Linked DNA regions of Mus musculus. The protein of the gene in region 2 interacts with the protein of the main gene of each other region in a pairwise test. Links are inferred from orthologs where the notes say so. Each region holds a gene or a part of one and is shown on either strand. Other genes may lie near its edges.

The links.
Region 1: the proteins of Exosc8 (region 2) and Slain1 interact in binary tests that used the Homo sapiens proteins (3 or more experiments, as listed by UniProt). The link is inferred for Mus musculus from reciprocal best matches to the Homo sapiens genes EXOSC8 and SLAIN1.
Region 3: the proteins of Exosc8 (region 2) and Tfap4 interact in binary tests that used the Homo sapiens proteins (3 or more experiments, as listed by UniProt). The two-hybrid records come from large-scale screens. The link is inferred for Mus musculus from reciprocal best matches to the Homo sapiens genes EXOSC8 and TFAP4.
Region 4: the proteins of Exosc8 (region 2) and Otud4 interact in binary tests that used the Homo sapiens proteins (3 or more experiments, as listed by UniProt). The two-hybrid records come from large-scale screens. The link is inferred for Mus musculus from reciprocal best matches to the Homo sapiens genes EXOSC8 and OTUD4.
Region 5: the proteins of Exosc8 (region 2) and Txndc17 interact in binary tests that used the Homo sapiens proteins (3 or more experiments, as listed by UniProt). The two-hybrid records come from large-scale screens. The link is inferred for Mus musculus from reciprocal best matches to the Homo sapiens genes EXOSC8 and TXNDC17.

What each region holds. Positions count from the first base shown.
Region 1 is NC_000080.6:103,702,228-103,705,417, reverse strand, and holds the end of Slain1 (SLAIN motif-containing protein 1), read right to left. Parts: intron 2,902-3,190; coding exon 2,580-2,901; intron 1,583-2,579; coding exon 1,507-1,582; 3' UTR 511-1,506; downstream 1-510. UniProt on the Homo sapiens protein: Microtubule plus-end tracking protein that might be involved in the regulation of cytoplasmic microtubule dynamics, microtubule organization and microtubule elongation.
Region 2 is NC_000069.6:54,732,562-54,736,627, forward strand, and holds the start of Exosc8 (exosome complex component RRP43), read right to left. Parts: upstream 2,804-4,066; 5' UTR 2,464-2,803; coding exon 2,447-2,463; intron 1,772-2,446; coding exon 1,735-1,771; intron 1,606-1,734; coding exon 1,542-1,605; intron 1,171-1,541; coding exon 1,097-1,170; intron 185-1,096; coding exon 139-184; intron 1-138. Other genes in the region: Alg5 (dolichyl-phosphate beta-glucosyltransferase), read left to right, coding at 3,023-3,088. UniProt on the Homo sapiens protein: Non-catalytic component of the RNA exosome complex which has 3'->5' exoribonuclease activity and participates in a multitude of cellular RNA processing and degradation events.
Region 3 is NC_000082.6:4,556,913-4,561,131, forward strand, and holds the start of Tfap4 (transcription factor AP-4), read right to left. Parts: upstream 2,809-4,219; 5' UTR 2,605-2,808; coding exon 2,516-2,604; intron 2,476-2,515; exon of another isoform or gene 1,753-2,475; intron 1,746-1,752; exon of another isoform or gene 1,675-1,745; intron 1,046-1,674; exon of another isoform or gene 80-1,045; intron 72-79; exon of another isoform or gene 1-71.
Region 4 is NC_000074.6:79,638,353-79,642,662, reverse strand, and holds the start of Otud4 (OTU domain-containing protein 4), read right to left. Parts: upstream 2,801-4,310; 5' UTR 2,758-2,800; coding exon 2,599-2,757; intron 2,560-2,598; exon of another isoform or gene 2,150-2,559; intron 1-2,149. Other genes in the region: uncharacterized protein Gm51579, read left to right, coding at 2,801-3,310.
Region 5 is NC_000077.6:72,206,098-72,210,360, forward strand, and holds the start of Txndc17 (thioredoxin domain-containing protein 17), read left to right. Parts: upstream 1-1,456; 5' UTR 1,457-1,526; coding exon 1,527-1,671; intron 1,672-2,155; coding exon 2,156-2,237; intron 2,238-2,632; coding exon 2,633-2,708; intron 2,709-3,317; coding exon 3,318-3,386; 3' UTR 3,387-4,263. UniProt on the Homo sapiens protein: Disulfide reductase. May participate in various redox reactions through the reversible oxidation of its active center dithiol to a disulfide and catalyze dithiol-disulfide exchange reactions. Modulates TNF-alpha signaling and NF-kappa-B activation.

The DNA.
Region 1 (3,190 bases), on a different chromosome or scaffold from region 2:
CCATTTCCAGGTACCTATCAATTTTCAGTAAATGTTACTTCTACAAGCTGTTTCAGCTCTGTATAGAACGATGTACAGAAAAGTTAAAAGCTGATGAGTAACCACAGACACCCTTCACAGCTTTGGTGAAGCCATGCTGTCTTCACAGGAGGCCGTTCACAGATCAGTGGCAGTATTTTCCTATTTTACCTACACTGAGAAGTTTTCTAACTCAACATCCCAAGGCTGCTCGGGTCCCCAGTGACACTGTGCTCATTCAAAACCCAGTCCTCAACAGACTCTGCTTAGTGGCCTTTCTGGGACCAAATCTTGTCACACAGCTAAGCCTCGGATTTCTTATCAAACTAATTGTGGAGACGAGAAAATGTAATCTTTACAACTGGGCTCTCCGAGTGTGTCGGCCACGCCCCCGTCCACGAACACCACCTCGGCGCCTGCTTCCCCAGCTGTAATGAAACACGGGCGTGGGAGCCCCACTTCTGATGCTGCACATTCATGCGTGAGCTGATATTGCTGAAATAGAGTCTTTATTTCCGAACATTCCAAAACAGCAGTGTACACAGTAACAAACAGTAAGTCATAGACCCTAAGAAAGCATTCATTAGTGCAAATGGGTTTTTGTAAAAGGTCTATCAAAAAGATTTATTTAAAATGCATTCGTTTCCAGAAGCATTGTTAATAAAACATTACAGTTTCATCCTTTGTAATAAAGTATTGAAAATCAATTGTGTGGTTGAGTAGCAAACATTGCGGGTCTTAAGTGCAATGAGCTTGTGATACCATCATAAATATGAAACTCATGTAAGACAATAAATTAACAATGAAAAAGACAAGACCGTTTAACTCTGCCGTCTGGCTGTCTCCTTGCAACGCTTTAGATTAAATTGTGCTCGTTCAACGTAAAATTATGTCTCAAATCGTATGGTGTGTTTTTGCTGATATATCCCTAGAGCTAAAAAAATAGTACCTTACCACAAAAATATTTTTATGGCACAAAATTTAAGTTGTTCCATAGTGGTTCACATAGGCATAAAAAGAAATAGGCACAAAAAATAAAATTCCTGTAAACTATAAAAAATTAAAATTCAAACCATGTTATAGAACCTAGTTGTAAATATGCAATGTATTAAAATGCAGAACATGTAATGGAAGGTGTTTAAAACATGTAGGTAAAATGAACAAGGTACTTTTAAAAACCTCATATGGCAAAGCATTATTGATACGCCTCAATCTCTCTCAAAAAGTATTCAGATACGGAGCAGTTCTACAAAAACTTCCTAGATCTAAGGTAACGATACCGCGGCCGCGGGTTTGGGAACGCCGCAGTATCTCAGGCAGAGAGTAGGTGAGCTCGTTAGTCTCTGGTGATTGGTCCACTGAAAACGATGCCGTGCGTGTGGTTAGCGTGAAGGGGAAAGCATCCCAGCATCCATGGTTACCCAGCCAGCTAGGTAACACACCCTCATTTTCACTTCTTCCCATTCTTCAAGGGTCCGTAAAACTGCATCAGTAGCAACCGTCTCTCCAATTTCCATCCCTCAGTGTGCTGAGTGAAGACAGAGGCTTGGGAGGCTGCAGGAAGCTATGAAGAGAGGAAAAGGCAGACGCGCTGTTAGTAATCCCGCCAGGCACATGACTTGCTCTGGTCCCCTCTCCCATCGGGGTTCCTTCATCCCATAAGGACAAGCTGTTGGCACTGTCACAAATGTGTATCAGGTTATGTCCTTCAGGCTTCTCCTAGTGTCTGCCTGTCTGCTGGAGCTGAGGCCTGAGCAGAGTCACATGTGTGCACGTGCACAAGGTTAAAAAAAAAAAGATAGAAAGGAAAAGGTACGATCCTTGATGGAAAAACAGCTACAAGCATAAAGCAGCTTTGTTGAGCACATGCATACATTCTTAGCATTTGAAATATTTTTTCTATGATAGCAACAAAGAACTGAAAAGTAATTTTGAAATATTTCAGGATTTTGAAAAATAACTTTGAAAATCCAATGTTTTCTCAAGTTTGAAGTAAACAAATCCTCTTCATATTCTATGACGATAGAAATCTTCCTCCTTCAAGATATGCATTCAAGAAAAAAATGGAGGGTCCCCAATAATGGATATGGAGCCATGAGCATGTCACATCTCTTTATTTACCAAGGAAAATAAGCCAGGCTACTGTCACTACCTTTGTCTAAAACGTACCCTATAAAGAACTTGGCATTTTTAGGCTGAAAAAAAAAAAGCTTGCCTGAGCCATCTGGAACTTAACAATACAAACGGGTTCCAGATGAATCAAACTAAGACTTTTCAAACCTCGAGCAGAAGTGTCACTGTGAGCAGACCTGAAGGAGGGAGGAAACTTGCCACACACGGAACCTGGGGCAGGGTACAGTGGGCCAAGGGATAAGAATCAAGTGAGAGGAAGCAGAATGTGACTACACAGAGACATCCATCACCTGCTGAGAAAGAGGGACCCAGGATGCGCCTGTAGGACAATGACCCGTGGTTGACCTGAGCCAGGGAAAGGTGAGGGTGAGCTGGAGAAACTTTGCAACTTCCAAGCACAGATTCAGTCCCGTGAACGGAGTTCTCACCTTCTGACAGGCTGTGCAATCTTGCTCCGAGGCAGGTTACTCCCATTTATTGCCAGTGAAGGTCTCGGAAGGGCGCTGCGACCCAGGATCCCAGAAGCCGCAGCTTTGTTCGGAGTAGGGATGCCCGTGGTGGAATATAACTGCGTGCCATTGGATAAAGGCATGCCGCTGCCGCTGCCGCCGCTGCTACCACTGCTGCCGCTGCTGCTGCTGCCTTGAACAGTTGGGCTCACATAGGCTGTGGCCTTCAGGGGCTGCCGGATGGGCACTGGGAAGTGGCCCACGCTGTGAACTCTGTGCTGAATCTGTCCTGGTGACGGGACTGTGGGAGAAAATAATGTCAGTGTGAGGAACTCGCCACTGCCTCCTAATTAGAGCTGTTATCCGCAGAGGAGCCTACATTCCCTGAATGTAAGAGGTAAGTGACGTACAGGTGCTAAGACCCTTCAGTAGGCGAGAATCCCGATAAGACTCTTCCCATTCTGTCCGCCTGAATACAGCTGATCTATGAACAGCATAACGGTCAAAAATCAAACTGTAATTCATGGTTTCCCCAAACTTCAGTCAGTACCCTCCTTGACCCAAAACCTTAACAATGAACATGTCTTATT
Region 2 (4,066 bases):
AGCTTTGTGGGGTTGGAGCTGGGGAGTCGTTATTCTATTTTTGAACATTGGGAATTGCTATCCACCTCAATTACCTCACTGCCAGAGGTATCTCTCAACTTACTTATAATTCATTAAAATTATGAGCATTTAACTCACCGACATATCCTCTATCGGGGGCATCTACTGGTGGTGCTGCAAATTCCTACAAAAGCAAACAATGTATTCCAGTGAGAAAAGCCACGCAACACGATGACATTCTAGTCATCCACAGAGGCCGTGCCAGAGACCATTTCAGCCAATTAACCCATGTTAAGGATGCTGGCACTGCCTTCCTAGTGACTCCCAGGGAGGTTAAAGGGCAGTGTAATCAAACTGTGCTGCTCATCCATGAGGACCAGTGGGATTATGCCCACCCTATGACTTGTTCAGCAGCCAAATCTGAATTTAATCCCCAAGCGACACTGACATGACCAGGCTGGGGAGCCAGTAGTGGCTAGAAGCGAGGTATATAGCAATAAGAGCCCAGTGCAGCTATAGATCCACACAAGAGACTGCAAGAGCTGGGGAAAGTTACTTATCTCTCAAGTTCCTCTGCTGACACAGGGACAGATAAACAGTACCTGCCTACTCCTGAGGGCCCAAGTGAGACAGTGCCACTAAGTCCCAGGTATAATCCTGGCAAGCAGTATGTGGTCTGACAGTTATTACTTCAGCTTGACCACAGACCTAAACGAGGAAAGCTGCTCAGTGAAACGTGAGAAAGCACAGGTTCTGTCAGTAGACTCTGCCTACCTTCTACTTACAGAGATTGGTAACAGTAGAGCATCTAAAAAGCTCAGCAGACAGTTACTATTCCTACGACGAACAAAAGCTATCGATGGCTAAAGGTGTCACTGTAACAGTCGATTTCAAAACCGATATTGCTGAAACCCTAACGTGTGACGTGCTGAGGACTCACCTTGTAAAGCGTTAATGATGCTCACATGTAAAAAACAAAAAAACAAAAACCAACCTTGGGGAATATCATTCCAAATACCAGCCCCTGATCAAGTACAACCTCATAAGCATGCAGTTAACTTGGAATTCAGACATTACAGGCATACAGGAAACCTACTGCTTTAACGCCACAAATGACCGTGGTATTCCCCAGCTTCACGAGAGCAGAGCCATCCGCTGTACTGATTGAACCTGGAAAGGTAAACTTGGTATTCATAAAAAATTTTAAAAAGAAAAAAAAAAAGAAAATAACCACAAAGTTTCCTACAAAGTAGTTTAAATCTTTTTGTTTGCCTCTGAAACTCCCCCCACCCCCACCCACCCACCCCCTGAAACTTTTGACCGGTTCAGGTCAGTGACTTGAAAATGATATTACTACTTAACGTTTTTTCATCTTTTTCTTCGGTCTCCCAATTTGAACTAAAGTTTAGATCAACTACAAGGTTGGTGTGATGATAAAAATCTCTTAACATCACCCGATTGCGTTAGACATAGTAGAGCTGGCTGAAAAACTACGTGACACCAAGGATGTCCCACCCAACTAAAAGGAAGTTTATCTTCACCTATGTTGACAGTTGTGGCTCTGAATTCACCAAGTTCTCTTCCATCAGGACGGCAGTTTTCCTTCTAAATGTTTATAAGGAAACGGGTCATAGATGTATTTCGGGTACGCAGCATTAAGCCTCATTCATTTAAATGAACCGAAGCTTGGTGTTTTTACCCACAGCTCTAACGTACAAAACCACCTTCACTCACCAGAAATCTCCTGTAATACTCCAGCGGCTCCACAGTTCTGAAACAATGTTTAAAACGTGTCTCAGTCAGTGCGTCCTAAAGCAGAAACCCAGAACTTGAGAGTGTGGTGTCTGAGGCGTGATCTCGACAGGCTCAGGCGTTTGAAACTGTGTGGCCCGTATTTATAAAAGCCACACAGCAGCAACCGGTTTCCAGCGGTGACCTTAACTGTGCCATAGTCAGGAGGAACAGAGGCCCTTGGCACACCCAGAAGAGGGTCAACCTGGGTGTCAGTCACATCACTCGTGCTCTGAAGCAGGGACCTTAGCGTGACTTCGCGCCGTTATAAACCACACTCGCCAGCATCCACAACTTTACCACGGAAGAGTGTATTGTACATACGTTTGGCCTCCTCGCCGACCCGCGGCCACAAGTGACTGCAGGTAGGTACGGTGCACGCACCGCAGACGCGAGTTTGCAGGCTGCACGCGTGGGCGGCTCCGGGTTTAACCAGAGCGCGCCCAACGCTTTCCCAGTCCCTTCCGAGGGCGGCCCTGCGTGGAGAGCGGCGTGGCCCTCGGCTAAGAGGTCCGGGCCGTCCTGGATGCAGTGTCCCTCAGCGCCTCGAGTGGGCAGAGCCCTCCCGCGGCCCCGCGAGTCCTCGGGGGGGCCCCCACCCGCCGCCGCGCGCCACACCCGCACCCGGGCCCTCTTTGCGCGCGCCGCCACTCACTTGAACCCAGCCGCCATTTTTCCGGCCCGCTCTGCGCCTGCGCAGCCCTCCGCGCCTGCGCCCTCCGGTCGCCAGGCGTGCCTCCAGCCCAGGGCACTCGGAGGGATCCTGGGTTAGGGAAGTGCAGCTACCGTGTTCCTGCGCCCGAGGCATTAACGCCAGCTCCGGCCACCCCGAGCGTCCCGCTAGTCGCCAATCTCGCGGGGTCCCACGGGCCCGCGCGCTTGTGCACGAACACACTCCCACACACACGCAGGCGCACGAGATGAAAAGGGGGTGACCCTAAAACCCTCCACGGCGCCGGGCATCCTTAGATGGCTGCTCTGCACGGCGCGAGGGGTGAAGCCAGTGCACAGGTCCAGGGCTTTGACTTGCCGCACTCGGTGACCGGCCTGCAGTCCTCGGCGGAGCCGCGCGGGGGCGCTGCGGGGAGGCCTCGGCTTTCCTGCCGTGGCGGGGCACGGCCAGGCGGGGGCGCTGCGGGCGGCGGGCGAGGGCTAGGCCGGCCTCTCCTGCGGGGCCGGCTGGGGCGGGGCGCGGCGCCGCACCGCGCTTCCGCAAGTGTGGAGCTGCGGGATGGCTACGCTGCTACTGCAGCTGCTGGGGCTCGGCGTGGCGCTGGCGGCTGCCGCGCTCATTCTGGTGAGACCGTGGTGGAGTCCGGTGCTCCGGGTGTCCCTTCCGCGCTTCCCTCGCGTGCTTGGCTCCCTTGGCCTCAGATTCCCTGAAATCCTTTGAACCTTTGTTCCCCTTTGGAACCCTATTTGAGTGCCCAGAGCCTCCGCCCAGCTTTTCGGGGCTCCTGCTTCTGAACCCCCGCCTGTCACCCCTCCACGCCACTCCCCAGTCTTCTTCCTGGGGCTCCCATATGCACTGCAGCTGGAAAGAGCGGCCGATCCATAAGGCTAGGGACGATGGGTCAGCAAAAGATAGGCCCAGACGGCGTTCTATTCATTTTGGCCAGGGGTCTTTTTGTTTTGTTTTGGGTTTTTTTGCTTGAGAATCAGGCACCTTAGCGTTTTCTTTGCCATTCCTGTAGAAACGTGGCAGACCCCTTCTGATTATGTAGAAGAGGACATATTTGCCAACTAAACTCTGCCACATAGTTTGAAAAGGAGCCTGTAACTCATTCAGAAAGCAGATTCTGAAAAGCTTGCCTGTATTGAGACAGGTGGCCAGAAAGGCCTCTGCCACCTAGCCAATGTACATGTGCACATGCACAGTCTTGGAGTGGTGTAGCCAGATGACTGTCGCTGTGTGTCCGGTGAAGCCAGGCGCCCTCTCTCACTAAAATGCCTTCTTTAAAGGCTTGGAACAAATCTGAACTTTGTTGGCCACGTTCCGGGTTGTGGCCACTTTACTTTGAATCCTTTATACAGACTTAGCTGACTGTGTGTGCACGATGAGGCTGTGTGGACTGTACTAGATCCCACTGGCTTGAACGAGTAGAGGTACCCTTTATTTTACTGCAAGCATGTTGCACTTGGTGTGCAGTGCGTTGCATCTTGAAGCCTACTTTCCATCTGCCTGTTGGCATTCTTTCTCTCCGCCCACTTTTTTTTTTTTTTTTTTTTTTTTTTTTTGAGACAGGGTTTCTCTGTATAACTCTGGCTATCCTGG
Region 3 (4,219 bases), on a different chromosome or scaffold from region 2:
GAGGAAGTCACCTATGCACATGCGCACACTTGCACACACACACACACACACACACACACACACAGCCACTGGACATTACCATGCGCCTGCTCTTTAGAGTCTGGATCTCACTTTCTAGGCACTGCCTATATCCAAGTCTCACAGAACCATTAGGCAGAAGGTCCAAAACGTCAAGCAAAACATCAAAGTGTGCCACACTGCCCTATGGCTCCTTCTGGTTGGCCCAGAAGGCATAGGAGTCAAACAAGAGAGAACCCAGCTAAACAGGGAGGGGTGGAGCAAAGTCCACAGTCTGAAACAAACCAGAGTCCATCCACCATAAGCTCCTGCCCAGCCCACACTCCATCCAGGACAGATCTCCCAGCTGTTGCTCCAGCTGAAAATGAACAGGCCTAGAGGCTATGTTCCTCCATGCCCAGTGTACAACTGTCTCCTTGTAAGCAAGACAGGCTAAGGACCTGTGTGCCTGTAGGCAGGTTGTGGTGCCTCAATTACTAGACCTGAAAACACCCTATGTTCCTGGGGGCGGGGCAGGTCTACTGCCCTCCAGCAACACAGGTCTGGAGAAAGGGACCGAGTGAAGACAAGAGTACCGAAAGGCTTAGGCATAGCAACCAGAGGTTCCTACTGTCAAAGCCAATGCAGGACCAGCACCAGAATGACCTCTCCAGAATATGGAGCTAATCAGGCTTCACTCCCCACTCCCCAAGCCAGCTCAGAGGAGCCAGCACAACAGCAAACTTAGGAATCGAGTCCAGCTGAATATCTGCTCTAACTGGTGCCTTCTTAGCTTTATAAAGCTTCTCCAGCTTTACAAAGAAATCAGAAAACAAATGGACTCACAGCAAGATTGTAGTGATTCGAAGAGAAAATTCTAGCAAGTAGGTCCCCAGAATATTTAGTGTCCAAGAGTTTAGTTACTGCTGTTTTGTACCTGCTGGGCCCTCAGGTGAACCGTATCTTAGTGCCAGCTGGGGGGGGGGGGATTAGAGGGGGCTGCCAGCTGCTAGACCCACCAACAGGCCCTAGGTATTGGCTCTCAACTTGAAAGTAAAGTGGGATCCCTACCTGGATTTTATACCTATGCAGCAACCTGCCCCACAGGCGTTGCTGTCTACCAACCAGCCTATGCCACTCAGCGGGCTCCTCCTCCTCCAGCCCCAGCCCTGCCTGGCTGGGGTGTCGGAGCACGTGGCCCCAGCCCTGGGGAGCCATTACGCTCCTAGAGTAGCACGGCAGGCAGGAAAGAGATCGTCGGTTTCAAACTTAAGCGCGCTGGAGAAACCTCTCCTTGCGTGCACCACCACCATCCCCGCCCGGACCCAGCCGGCTTGTAGGGTTCAATGAGCAGATACCAGGGCCGGCAATAGAAATCTCAGACATGACGATTTAACAAGAGTTTAAGAGAGATTCGGCCACTGGTCAATCGCGATTTAGTAGCGAGTGGATCTGGGGCAACCTAGGTAGGATCAAGCTCACTAAGGGGTATCTCAAGAGAGACCTCCGACCACCCACCCGACCAGGAGATTCAACGCTTTGCATTTATGACTGAGGAACAGAAGTGGGACAGCAAAGTTTGCAGACCCATATGCAACAGGAAGTAGACTAGAGCCCTGAAGCAACCTAAGACGCACCCTCATCAAAAGGCCTCCCCACCTGGCCTGCTTAGCCCACCTAGTTGGTTACGGCCGAGCTTTGTGCAAGTAAAGCGTGGCCCCGAAGCGCCTACAAGTCCCACAATGCAGCACCGACCCGGCATAGAGAACTACAGCTCCCGTGAGGTCGTGCGCGCAGAGGCCCGCCTACTCCAAGAGGGCTGCAGAGTCACGTCCAGGCCTCGCTAGTAAACAGCACCCGAGCGCGGGCGGAGAACGTGCGACTAGTGACTGCCAACGTGTGGGGGACCGCAACTTCCCTGCTTGAAGCATGGCCACTAAAGGTCCACGTACGCCTCGCAACCTCGAGCGAGCACGCCCCCAACCCTGCTGCAGCCCTGTTCTCTGCAAACGTTCACACCACCCGGCTCCCCGCCCCCCCTCCCCGCAGCCTGGAACCGCGGCATGGCAGCATTGTAGCTGTCCTCTCGCACACTCCGGGCCCCCCCCAAAACGACCTCCTTAGAAGAGGGTTCCCAGAAAGCGCGAGTAAGCAAGGAAAAGGAAGGAAGCCAAAGCTGGCGGGGGGAGGAGGAAGCGCTGGGTGAAAGCCACCAGCAGCAAGCATGGCCGGGACTGCTGCAGCACCACGTGGGTCTGTTTGCAATTTACAAACGTCGCGACTCGCCCGCCTGCAGCGGACAAAAGTGGACAGAACCTCTCGGGGTCCCCACGTTCCAAGGGAAGAGGGTCCCTAGGCAACGCAAGCAGGGTTCCAGAGACTGCAGCGGACCCAGTAGCTAAGAAAGGCGAGCGAGCTCGGAGGCGCGAGCCATGCGTGCGCACACGCGCACCCGCCCGGGCGGGCTGGCCGGGGGCTGCAATGGGAAGAAGGGGTTGGGGGGAGGAGCAGTACACACCTACAGAGCCCTCCTATCACTTCTTTCTCTGTTTTCCTGAAATGTTGCAAAGAGGGCACCTTCTGAGTGGGCACCATGAAATACTCCATAGCGATAGGCCCCCCTCCTGTGCACGAGCCAGGTCTCGCGGTCAGCCGGAGAATGCAAGATGGAAATCCGAATCAAAGGGCAGCGCCGGACGGAGGTGCAGAATCGGCCGGTCCCAGATGCTGGCGGCAGCAGCAGCAGCGGCGAGGGGAGGGAGGCGGGCGGGAGGGGCGGGCGGGAGGTCTCTCCAGCCTGCCTCCCCGGGCGTGTGTATGTGTGTGTGTGTGTGTGTGTGTGTGTGTGTGTGTGTTTGCAGCTGATCAGATGTCTGTTTCAAGGCGGGAAACAGCTGGTGAAAACTCAGCACTCCCCGGCCTCCTTCCGCGGAGTAAGGAATTGCATGTAAACAAAGGACTATTTGCAGCGCCCCCCCCAGGGCGACTGGATGCTGGGGCGAGAAGGGCGCAAGCTCCTTGGGACCGACTACTACATGGGTCTGCAGACTTAACCCTGGGATCAGGAATCAGGGGTCGACAGCTGGCTGTGGGGGGACACGATGTGAATGGAGTGAACAGCGGCCCAGCTACATGCGCCACTATGGGTGATGAGGTCCATCAGCTGACAGGTTGGCAAGCGTAGCTAAAAAGAAAAAAAAAAAAAAAAAAAAAAAAAAAAAGGCCAGCCCCACCGCACGGGATCCCAGTCTGTGCAGTCCAGGGTCCGGTGAGGACTGCCCAGTGCGGGGTCTTTGCGCACCGCTATCCTGGAGGACGCGCTGGGCGGGGCTGCAGCAGCAAAGGGAAGGCTCTTTTGGGTGTGTGCTTCAGGCTTTTGCATTTTCATAATTGCCACTGCACGGAGCGGAGCAGAGCCACTCTGGCGCGCTCCCTTTCGAGCCGACCCGGGCCCCCTGGAAACTTGCGTCATAGCCACTGTTTCCCACAAGTAACTTGGGGCTGACTCTGACCACCCGCCAGCCTCCTCCCTCCGTCTTTACCCAGGTGGCTGCCTGGCCCAAACTCTGACTGGTGCTAGGAAATTAGATTGCGAAGGGTACAGGCAGGTGCGCAAGGTACCTCGGATGTTTGGGGCTGCCATAGGAAGAGAGAGCAAGTGGGAAGGAAGGGAAGGGCGGAGGCAAGCCAGAACAGCAGCGGCCCTGAGGCAGGCTGCCAGCGCGGTCCGAATATCCATTAGAGGTCTGGTGGTGGCTGCCAGGTCCTGTCTTGCCTCTTTCACTACCTTACTTTCCGACTTCGCGCGCAGCGGGCTGCAGCTTCTCATTCATGGGGAAGGCGGGATAAAACTTGCTCCACCGCCAGAGGGCGCGCTCTACAATGGGGGGGGAGTGGTGGTCTGGGGCAAGGGAGGGGACGTTTTAGGGGTGAGCTTCCGTCCTCTGACACGCCCCCACCTTCCGGTCCCGGCCCTCCCCAGACTCCTGGAGGGCTTGGCCCCAGGCTCAGGAAGCCCACGCCTGCCTCGGAATGTCCTCGCTCCAGCTCAGCGCCTTTCCCAGACCCATTCGCTGCCTTCCAAGGTTCCACCCAAATCGAGCCTCTTAGTTGAAATACTTCTATTTATAACAATTGTTGGGTATTATTAGAAAACATTGTTCAATATTACCAACCTGATCTCTAACTGTAGATGCCAGATCAATTAGCATCTAATCCCAGG
Region 4 (4,310 bases), on a different chromosome or scaffold from region 2:
GTTCTTGGTTGTTATCCAGGAGAGGTGTAAAACGCAGCTGGAGTCTCTTTTCTTACTGTTTTGGGACATTACTAGAAAGTAGCCTTGCACAGTCTAAGCTTCCCGCATCACAAGAACCGTCCACGCATTTTCAAAAACACCAACTGTTTGCCATTTCAACAAATTACATTTGGCAATATAGCTTTCCCAGTAGCTGCATTAGACACTGTTATGGATCAAGCATTATTAATCTGAGTGAGCCACAGTGTCACCTGATAGGGCTTGCCTGTCAGCAAGGCGCCTCCGGTTTGTGTTCAAGCCATTCACCTAACAACAGGTGGCAGGCAGAAATTAGTAAAGCTCACTTCTCATCAGTAACTACATCACAAGTATCTGTTTTTTCTCCTTTTAACAAAGATTTTAGAACATGTCATCAACCTGAACCTGCAATCCAGATGCAAAACTCTCATCAATGTACATGAAGTGTAGAATATTGATAATTTAGTAAGTCAAACAATGCAAAAAAAGCAAGACTGAAATGACAACTCTTCAAATAGTAAATTACTTCTCAATCCCTGGACACTCAAAATTCAAGTGGTCTGCTATGTTGCTCCATGAAAATAGGCTAAAGGTAGAAGCTTTAAAACAAGGTAGTGATAAACACAGGGAAAGGCTGAGACACTGTTTTAGCAAGTCCTCTAAGAGTGCCCTATTTTTAGCTACAAGGCTAGGAGCTGATTCAGGTCAGGCTTCCTGCAGGCCCAAATCCACAAGTGAAAAGAAAAAAGAAAAAAAAAAAGGAAAAAGCATCTCTAAATCAGGTAATCTGAAGGGGAAAAGGCTAATCTCAAGCGCGCTCGAATCCTCTTCTCTTAGGACTATTTAGCTTCCTGACTCTTAAAAATATTTATTGAACTATTTACCAGAAAAGAAATTCCACTAAAACAAATCCTTCCTACAGACTTTTAAAGGCAGCGGAGGCTAACACATTCTTCCTCACCATTACTTCCTCACTCAGTCTGGATCTACTGGAATACTTATGTTGCTTCCCCTAGATGTAGGCTCAATATATTCAAAATAAAGCGTCCCCAAATTTGTAAAGGTTAGGTCCTTTAAGACTAACCCAGATCCCAAGGCTGAAACGGAGTTTACCCCCATCAATGAGTTTAGTGCAACTAGCTCTTGCCCACTGTGCAGACACTGAGTCCCCCAAGCTGCTCTTCTATCCCCAAGGATCTGTGGCATGTCTCATGGGCAGAAACACACCTTTCTGTCTCACTTTAAATAGGCCTGGATAACTCAACTCCAAACACTAACCTCTACCTCCATCCTCCACAAACTTGCTAATGCACTATAATATAAACCGACACCATGGGATGACTTCACTTCCCCTCTTCAGCTTCTAGAGGTGCTAGAGGCCAAGAAGGCTGAGACAAGGAGACAATCTTCTTCATCTGGAAAACTCACAAATGGAGCAGACTGTTTACCTATGTAACAGTAAAGACTGGGCTGGAAACAGCACCCACACTGGAGCTTCCTACATTTCTGAAAATAAGAGATATCAAATGGTAGGATGGTTTGGGAAGCATCAAAGAATGTTTCAATGGACATACCTGTCATAAGTGCAAAGTGTTCCATATTTACATACTCTGAAAAATACATAGCCTGGTGATTCTAAAACAGAAATCTTAAAAGCTAGTTAGCTCACAAAAGGGGGCGGGCGGGAGGGGACAAAACCATAAAAACTCCAGATTAAGCCAAAGGAAAGCAAACTGTAAATGGTATGAAATACAAACTGGAGCAGTAATGTGAAACTTTTTTAATCCAACTACTTTAGCAGCTAGTCTTCAAATATAGGATGGGTTTTGGTGACCCCACACCTACATCTGATTACATAACATGGGGAAAAGGGCTCGCTCTCAAAAAAGAAAAGCCTTGAGTATTCTTCCCTGGAACTCGTCCCACTCCTGAGTTCTAACTCACTTCTCTTTGGTAAAATGTTCGATCTGTACTGGGAATAATTTTTGACCAATAAGGAAAACAAAACAAAAAACGGAAACAAAAAAAAAAACCCGACATGTGCCTATACTGAAAATCCATCCTATTACTTAAAGGCCTTTAGAAGAGTAAATTCTTGCCTGATTCCAACATAGTATAGTATGGGACCTACTCAAGATTAAGTCACTGGGAAGACCCTATACAGGAAGACTGCTTTCCTTAAACAGCAAAGTTGGCCGCCTGTTTCGAGTGACACCGGTGAGACCGACTACCCCGCATTCCAAAGTCCAGCAACAGGAAAAAAAAAATGTGAAGCAGTCACACTGAGTGCCGCACCTCCTCCAGTAAACATGAGGTTAACTAGTGGGAACACTCGGCTGCTAAAAACTGAGCGCAGGTGAACGCGGAACACAACTCAAAAACAGCATGTCGCTGGGTCCCTGGCGGTCAGGCTGCGAGCAGGCCGCCCGAGATGTCCTCACTCGGTCCCGTGCCGGCGTTACAATGGGCCGCTGTGACGACAGCGAGCCACGCGCAGCCCCGCCGTGGGCGGCCAGGCAGCTGCGGGCGGCATGTCGCACCCAGCCCCGCGCCCGCCCGGCTCCGGCCCGGGTCCTTTACCTGCTCGGCCACAGCCCGGAACAAGCACGACCCGTCCTTGGCGACCAATTTCCGATACAAGCCCAGTTTGCGCAGATAGGCGTCCATGGGCGTCTCATCCTCCAGCGGCCCCACGCCGCCCTGGTCCACGCCGTCGGGCGCGCCGACGGCTGCCTCCATGTTGCCGGTCCGCTGCAGCGTGCGCGGGGCGAACTAGCCCCACATGGCCGCGCCGCCGGCTGCTCGACGCCCGGGCCTGGGGCAGGCTGCGGCTCGGGCTCCGGCTCCGACGCGGACACGGCGAGCGGCGGCAGGAAGAGGCGGTGGCGGCAGCGGCCCGAGGCGGTGGCCGGCGCTCTCCCGGAGCATAGGTGAGCCCAGCCTAGTGCATGGCCATCCGCACGCGGCCGCCTCCGCGGAGGGACACGCGCCCGCGGGCAGCCCGGGGGTCGCCGCCCCCACAAGTTTCCGGGTCTCGACCGGTGTGAGGCGAGAAAAGCCCCGGCGGCGCGCCCGGCTGAGATTAAGCGAGGCCTGCGTCTCCCGCACGCACCCCACGCCGAGAACCGAGGAAACGCGGAGAGAAAGCCACGGCCGCTCGTCTCCCCACCTCGCCGGAGGGCGCCTGAGGGGCGGGGAGCGGGAAGGGGCGCCGGGCGGAGGGCAGCAACCTCGCAGCCTAGAATTTGTTTTCGCTTTCAGCCCTCGGCGCAGCGGACGACGGGAGTTGTAGTTTAAGCCGCGGCAGGAAGTCCTCGTGCAGAGGGCGGGGACGCCTGGGTCGGCCTACCCGGAGGGGAGGTGCCCCACGGGCTCGCGGACTACAAATCCCTACAATGCTAGCGGTGCCGAACCTAGAACTGCCTTCGCGCTTCCCAGGCCGCGTCCGCGAGCAGGCCCGAGGGTGTCTGTCGCTTACGCCGCTGACCTGCGCGCGCTGCCCCGCCCTCCCGGCGAGCCTCCCGCCCTGAGCGCCGTGGGGCGGCGGAAAGCGCGCGAGCGCAGCTTGCGTGCAGTTGCTAGGGGCTCAGTGGCGGTGCCGCCGGCCCTTTGTGTAGTTCCAGAGGACGCACCTGTCCGCACCCCACTCAGGGCCTCCCCTCCTAGCGTTTTCTTAGGGGTGGCTAAACGCTTAGAGCAGAAAACCGGGCACCTCACCCGAGGCCCTTGGAGCCGCCAGCCTAAGCCATTTTGACCCTCAATGAAGCGTTGACAGTTGATTGAAATTGGGACAGCTCACACTCTGACAAGATCTGGCTTTGCCAAGGGCATGCCTGCTCATTCTGTCACAGCAGCTGCGCTCTGCCACACAAAGAGCTGTCCCTGTTAGAAGAAATTACTTCTTTTTTTTTTTTTTTTTTTTTTTTTTAATTCGGTGATAACGCTACGGGGAATCCGACCTGAGCAGTCCAATTGGGTTTGCGAATCCGGAACTTAACCTCTTGGGACGTCAGAATTTTATTTTACTAGCATACAATAGCATCTCGTATCATTTAAATTTATTAGAACTTCGGTCTTGACGTTGTGTTGGAAAAAGAAAAGTGGTAAATTACCTTAGGTTTAAAGGTGTAGGCATTCTTGGGAATGGTGCCAAGACATGCCAGGTGGTAGGATTGCAACACGTTACTTAAAATGTAAGCTATTAATATTTAAATATTCCTATAAATGTGCTATTTTTAGAAAATATATCGCAAGCTAAATAATTTTTTTTTTAAAAATCCTTGACCCAAATT
Region 5 (4,263 bases), on a different chromosome or scaffold from region 2:
ACCTCAGGTCCACCCACAGGAGGTGGTGTCTTCCCAGCTTGTCCCTGCCTACAAAGGATAGAGACTCTCTCACAACCGGCCCCTATTCCCCTAGCTGTGGGCAGTCCTGAGGCCTGGGGGAATGTCCTAGTATTGCCTCTCACCCAGGGTCCGGTGACACCACCTCGGCTGGTCTCTACCCAGGAAGCTCGCCCAGGAATACCCTTCTCGATCGGCCCCTCTCCCACGGGAACGGGATGGAGCTCCACTCTGCTTCCTTCCCAGCATCCCGACGCTACCCTCATAGCCTGCACCTTCAACCACAGTTCCAGGATGCTCTCATGGCCAAGTGTTCCTGGACGACCTTTTCTCTCACAGCTTGGAGAGCTCCTATTGTCTAGCTCCTCCTCCCCAGATACAGTCACCCACACAGACCCAGCAGGCCCAACCACCTCGGGCTCGCCCACAGTCCCGTTCACCCACACTGTCCTGGGGTCCATTGCTGCCTCAACCGAGCCTGCAGTCCCAGGTATCCCAAAGGCCCTGTTCACCCTAGCGGGGACTGCGGGCTCCGCAGTCCTCTTCTCTAAAGGCTGCTGACCATTCTGTAGCCACCCTATGTTTGCACAGAGCATCCGCCGCACTGAAGATCTCACCCGGCGCCTTACTCCATAGCCTCGGGATAACCCTGCACCCCACCTCCTCGCCCACAGAGGCCGAACACCCCGACGCAACCTGCGGGCCCTCATGCAATGAGCCGGCATCTTCGCTGCCAGTGTACACCTGCGTAGCCCGGGCAAGGGCCCCCGTGCCGGCGTCGCAGCTCCTGGACAATTCCTTTCCCCAATGCAACCTCAGACACGCTCTCTTTGCATCTGTTCCCCCGCACACGCACTCACAACACTCGGATCCAGTCCTCGCTGCCTTTCTGCCTCCCAGCTCTCTCCAAACCCCCGCCCGATCCCGGACGCCGCCCCCGGCCCCGGCCCCCCTAAAGTCTGACAAATAGAAAGGTAATAGGAGGGGCGGAGCTGCAAGGCAAGCCTGGGGCGAGGTCTCTCACTGTCTCTCTGTCTAATGCAGTTTCCCAGAATTCCCCCAGCTCCGGCCCAAGCCCACCTGGTTTGGGCGCGGCGCGGCCACCAAGAGATCGTAAGGCGACCCCACGCTAGGCCTCGCTTCCGGCCTCTCGCCCAGTCGTCATGGCAACAGGCGCGCGGCTGTTTGGGAGCCGTTGATCTTCCTGAGCCATTTGAGGATCAAGGTGTTGTACCGCGACGGGCTTTGCCGTCACTGTCCATGAAGCCAGGGTGGGGACCAGACCAGGTCAGGCGTCTAGTTGTCTGAGGGAAACTGGCGCCAAAAAGAAACTCCAGCAGACCAAAAGGACGGCCCTAAGGAGTTATGGCTATTCAAGGCTCCCGTAGCACCACTCTGCTGCGGCGGCCCCGCCCACCCGGAACCTTGTCCACGCCTTACTTGGGCCCCGCCTTGGGGGCGCAGGACCCTAGGGCTCCTCCCGTGCTCCTCTCCGCACTGTTGTACCCATGGCCACCTTCGAGGAGGTGAGCGTGCTGGGCTTCGAGGAGTTCGACAAGGCAGTGAAGGAGCATGAGGGCAAGACCATTTTCGCCTACTTCAGCGGTTCTAAGGATACCGAAGGGAAGAGCTGGTGTCCGGACTGCGTGGAAGGTGAGGCTGGGACCAGGACTGGGGGTTGCTGCGCCACAGCAGTGCTAGGAAGAAGGCCCCTGCTGAAGTCAGAAAGTGGGATGAGATGAGGATCTTGGTCCTGCAGACCCGCAGAAGCGCCTGAGCTGTACCCCGTCTCTCGTTAGGCCCTTACTGCCCCACCCAAGGATGACCCTCATTTTTATCATGGATTCGGATCTTGGAACCAGGTTCTTTAAAATTCTCAGTTCCCCAAACGATTAGTGTCTCATAAAAAAAAAAAAGACCAGACTCAGGAGTTGATCTTTCCGTCATCATATATGTATGCTGAGTTTTCTGATTGTGTCTTAAAGACAATCAGGACTAGGACTTAAGTGATTCACGAGTCCAGAGGACACGCGACTTTAACATCCTATCTTACAACCGGTTAAAGTCTAAGACTGGGGACGGGAGGGCGTGGGCTATCGCAGTTGATGTGTAATTACTTTTTAACTCTTTTAAAAAGCTGAGCCAGTCATTCGAGAGGGGCTGAAGCATGTTACCGAAGACTGTGTGTTCATCTACTGCCAAGTAGGAGACAAACCTTAGTAAGTCATGTATACCGTATCTCCAGACATGGACTATATTATTAAAAAGCTGGGTAAAAAGGACCTCAGATAATTGGTCAGGCTCTGTGTTTTAGGTATTGTCTGATAAGCTAAACAATTAGAATTACTGAATTCATATTTACAGTTTATGTTCAACCACATATCATCATTAATGAATTGGGTCTGGAATAAGTTCAGAACTCTATTGACTTTACATTTGTTTTATCTTAGCCACACTTTAAACTTTGCAGAAAGTGACACATAAGTTACAGTTCTCAAAATGTTTAAAGGTTAACAAAAGCAGTGGTTACAAGTATATTATATATAAGTCAACTGTTGAGTAAACTGTAATGAACCAAGTAGTATTTTTCATTATCTGTTTCATTTTGGAACAGCTGGAAAGACCCAAATAATGACTTCAGACAAAAACTGAAAATAACCGCAGTGCCTACACTACTTAAATATGGAACAGTAAGTGTCTACCTTTATGTTTGTAGCTATAATGTAGTTAAAACTCAAGTTGTTTTTTGAGTCAAGTTTGAAAAGATCTTGACCTTTGATTTCCAACATCACATTGTTGTTCAGAGTGCATCAGAAACACACAAGTTGGTGTCCATTCCTCTGCCAATCCTGACAAACTATTAATAATGCAGATATTAGTGTCTGGGGTGTATTTTTAAGCCACTTTTAAGATTCTGTCTTCAGAAGAAAGTTGACTCATTTCTGAAAGCACCTTTGTCAATGTTTTCTAAACCCACTTTTCAGGCTTAAAAGGGCTCTCCCTCTATTTCAGCCCTGCCCCTAGAATCCTAAATTAAAGAGTTGAGGGAAAGAGATGGCACCAGGCATGCTGTCTCTTGTTTTCAGCCTATGGGGCTTCCTAGTGTGGAAATACAAGGCCTCTCAGGCCAAGTGTTTTAATGATTCATCTTGACACAAGCATCCTAACTATTTAATAAAGCTTGTTATAACTAGCTGATGGCATAATTTGTGTTCAAAAACTTGTCATTCAAAGTAGAATTCACTCCACCCCTAGTAATATTCATAGCAACAGTGAAAACTTAACCATTCTTTTTACAGCCTCAAAAACTTGTGGAGTCTGAGTGCTGTCAATCCAGCCTTGTGGAGATGATCTTCTCTGAAGATTAAGATTTGATGACCTTGCCGGACTGTGGTGGCACATGCCTTTAGTCCCAGCACTCGGGAGACAGAGGCAGCTGGATCTCTTTGAGTTTGAGGCTACCTGGTCTACAAGTTGAGTTCAAGGACAGCCAGAGCTACAGAGTAAAACCCTGTCTGGAAAAACCAAACCAACCCAAAAAAGCCTGATGATTGCAATTTTGTATTGATTGCCTGGTTTGTTTAAAAGCAGCCACATTATTGCTTTGAATTGATGAGTAAATGATGTTATTAAATCAGTGTATATCTAAACAATAAAGAATTGAAATACAAACCATTAAGTTTTTTAACACGTGGCTATCTAAAAGATTTGAGTAAAATGAGTCTTCAGTATGGTGGTAGTAGCTCAAAGGAAATATTGAAGATAGAAAGTAACTTACTAACTTCCAAATCTGCAGCAATTAGTATCTATTACCTTAAGTTCTGTGTATTTGCAAAACCCTTTCTGCCTTTGAAATGGAGAACTTCATTAAACCATTTAGGAAAGACATGGGATTCATATGCTTAACTCAGGCAGTTTTCTTTCACAAATGTCTAAAATGTGATTCTTTTGTTGTGAAACAGGCTGGTTCTCCTAGCCACAGGCCAAGTACTATCTAAATCTTCATTTCTTCAAGTAACAATTGTGTCAGGCATAGTGACACACACCTGTAATATTATTTTAGATGCTAAGGCTAGAGGATAACAAATTTAAGGCAAGGGTAGACTACAGAACCAGACCTTGTCACAAATTTAAAGCCCAACTATTATTCTGCAAGTAAAGCAAGAATGTGGGCTGAAGAGGTGGTTCAGTGCCTAAGAGCACTGGCTGTTCTTCCAGAGGACATGGTTTCAGTTCCCAGCACCC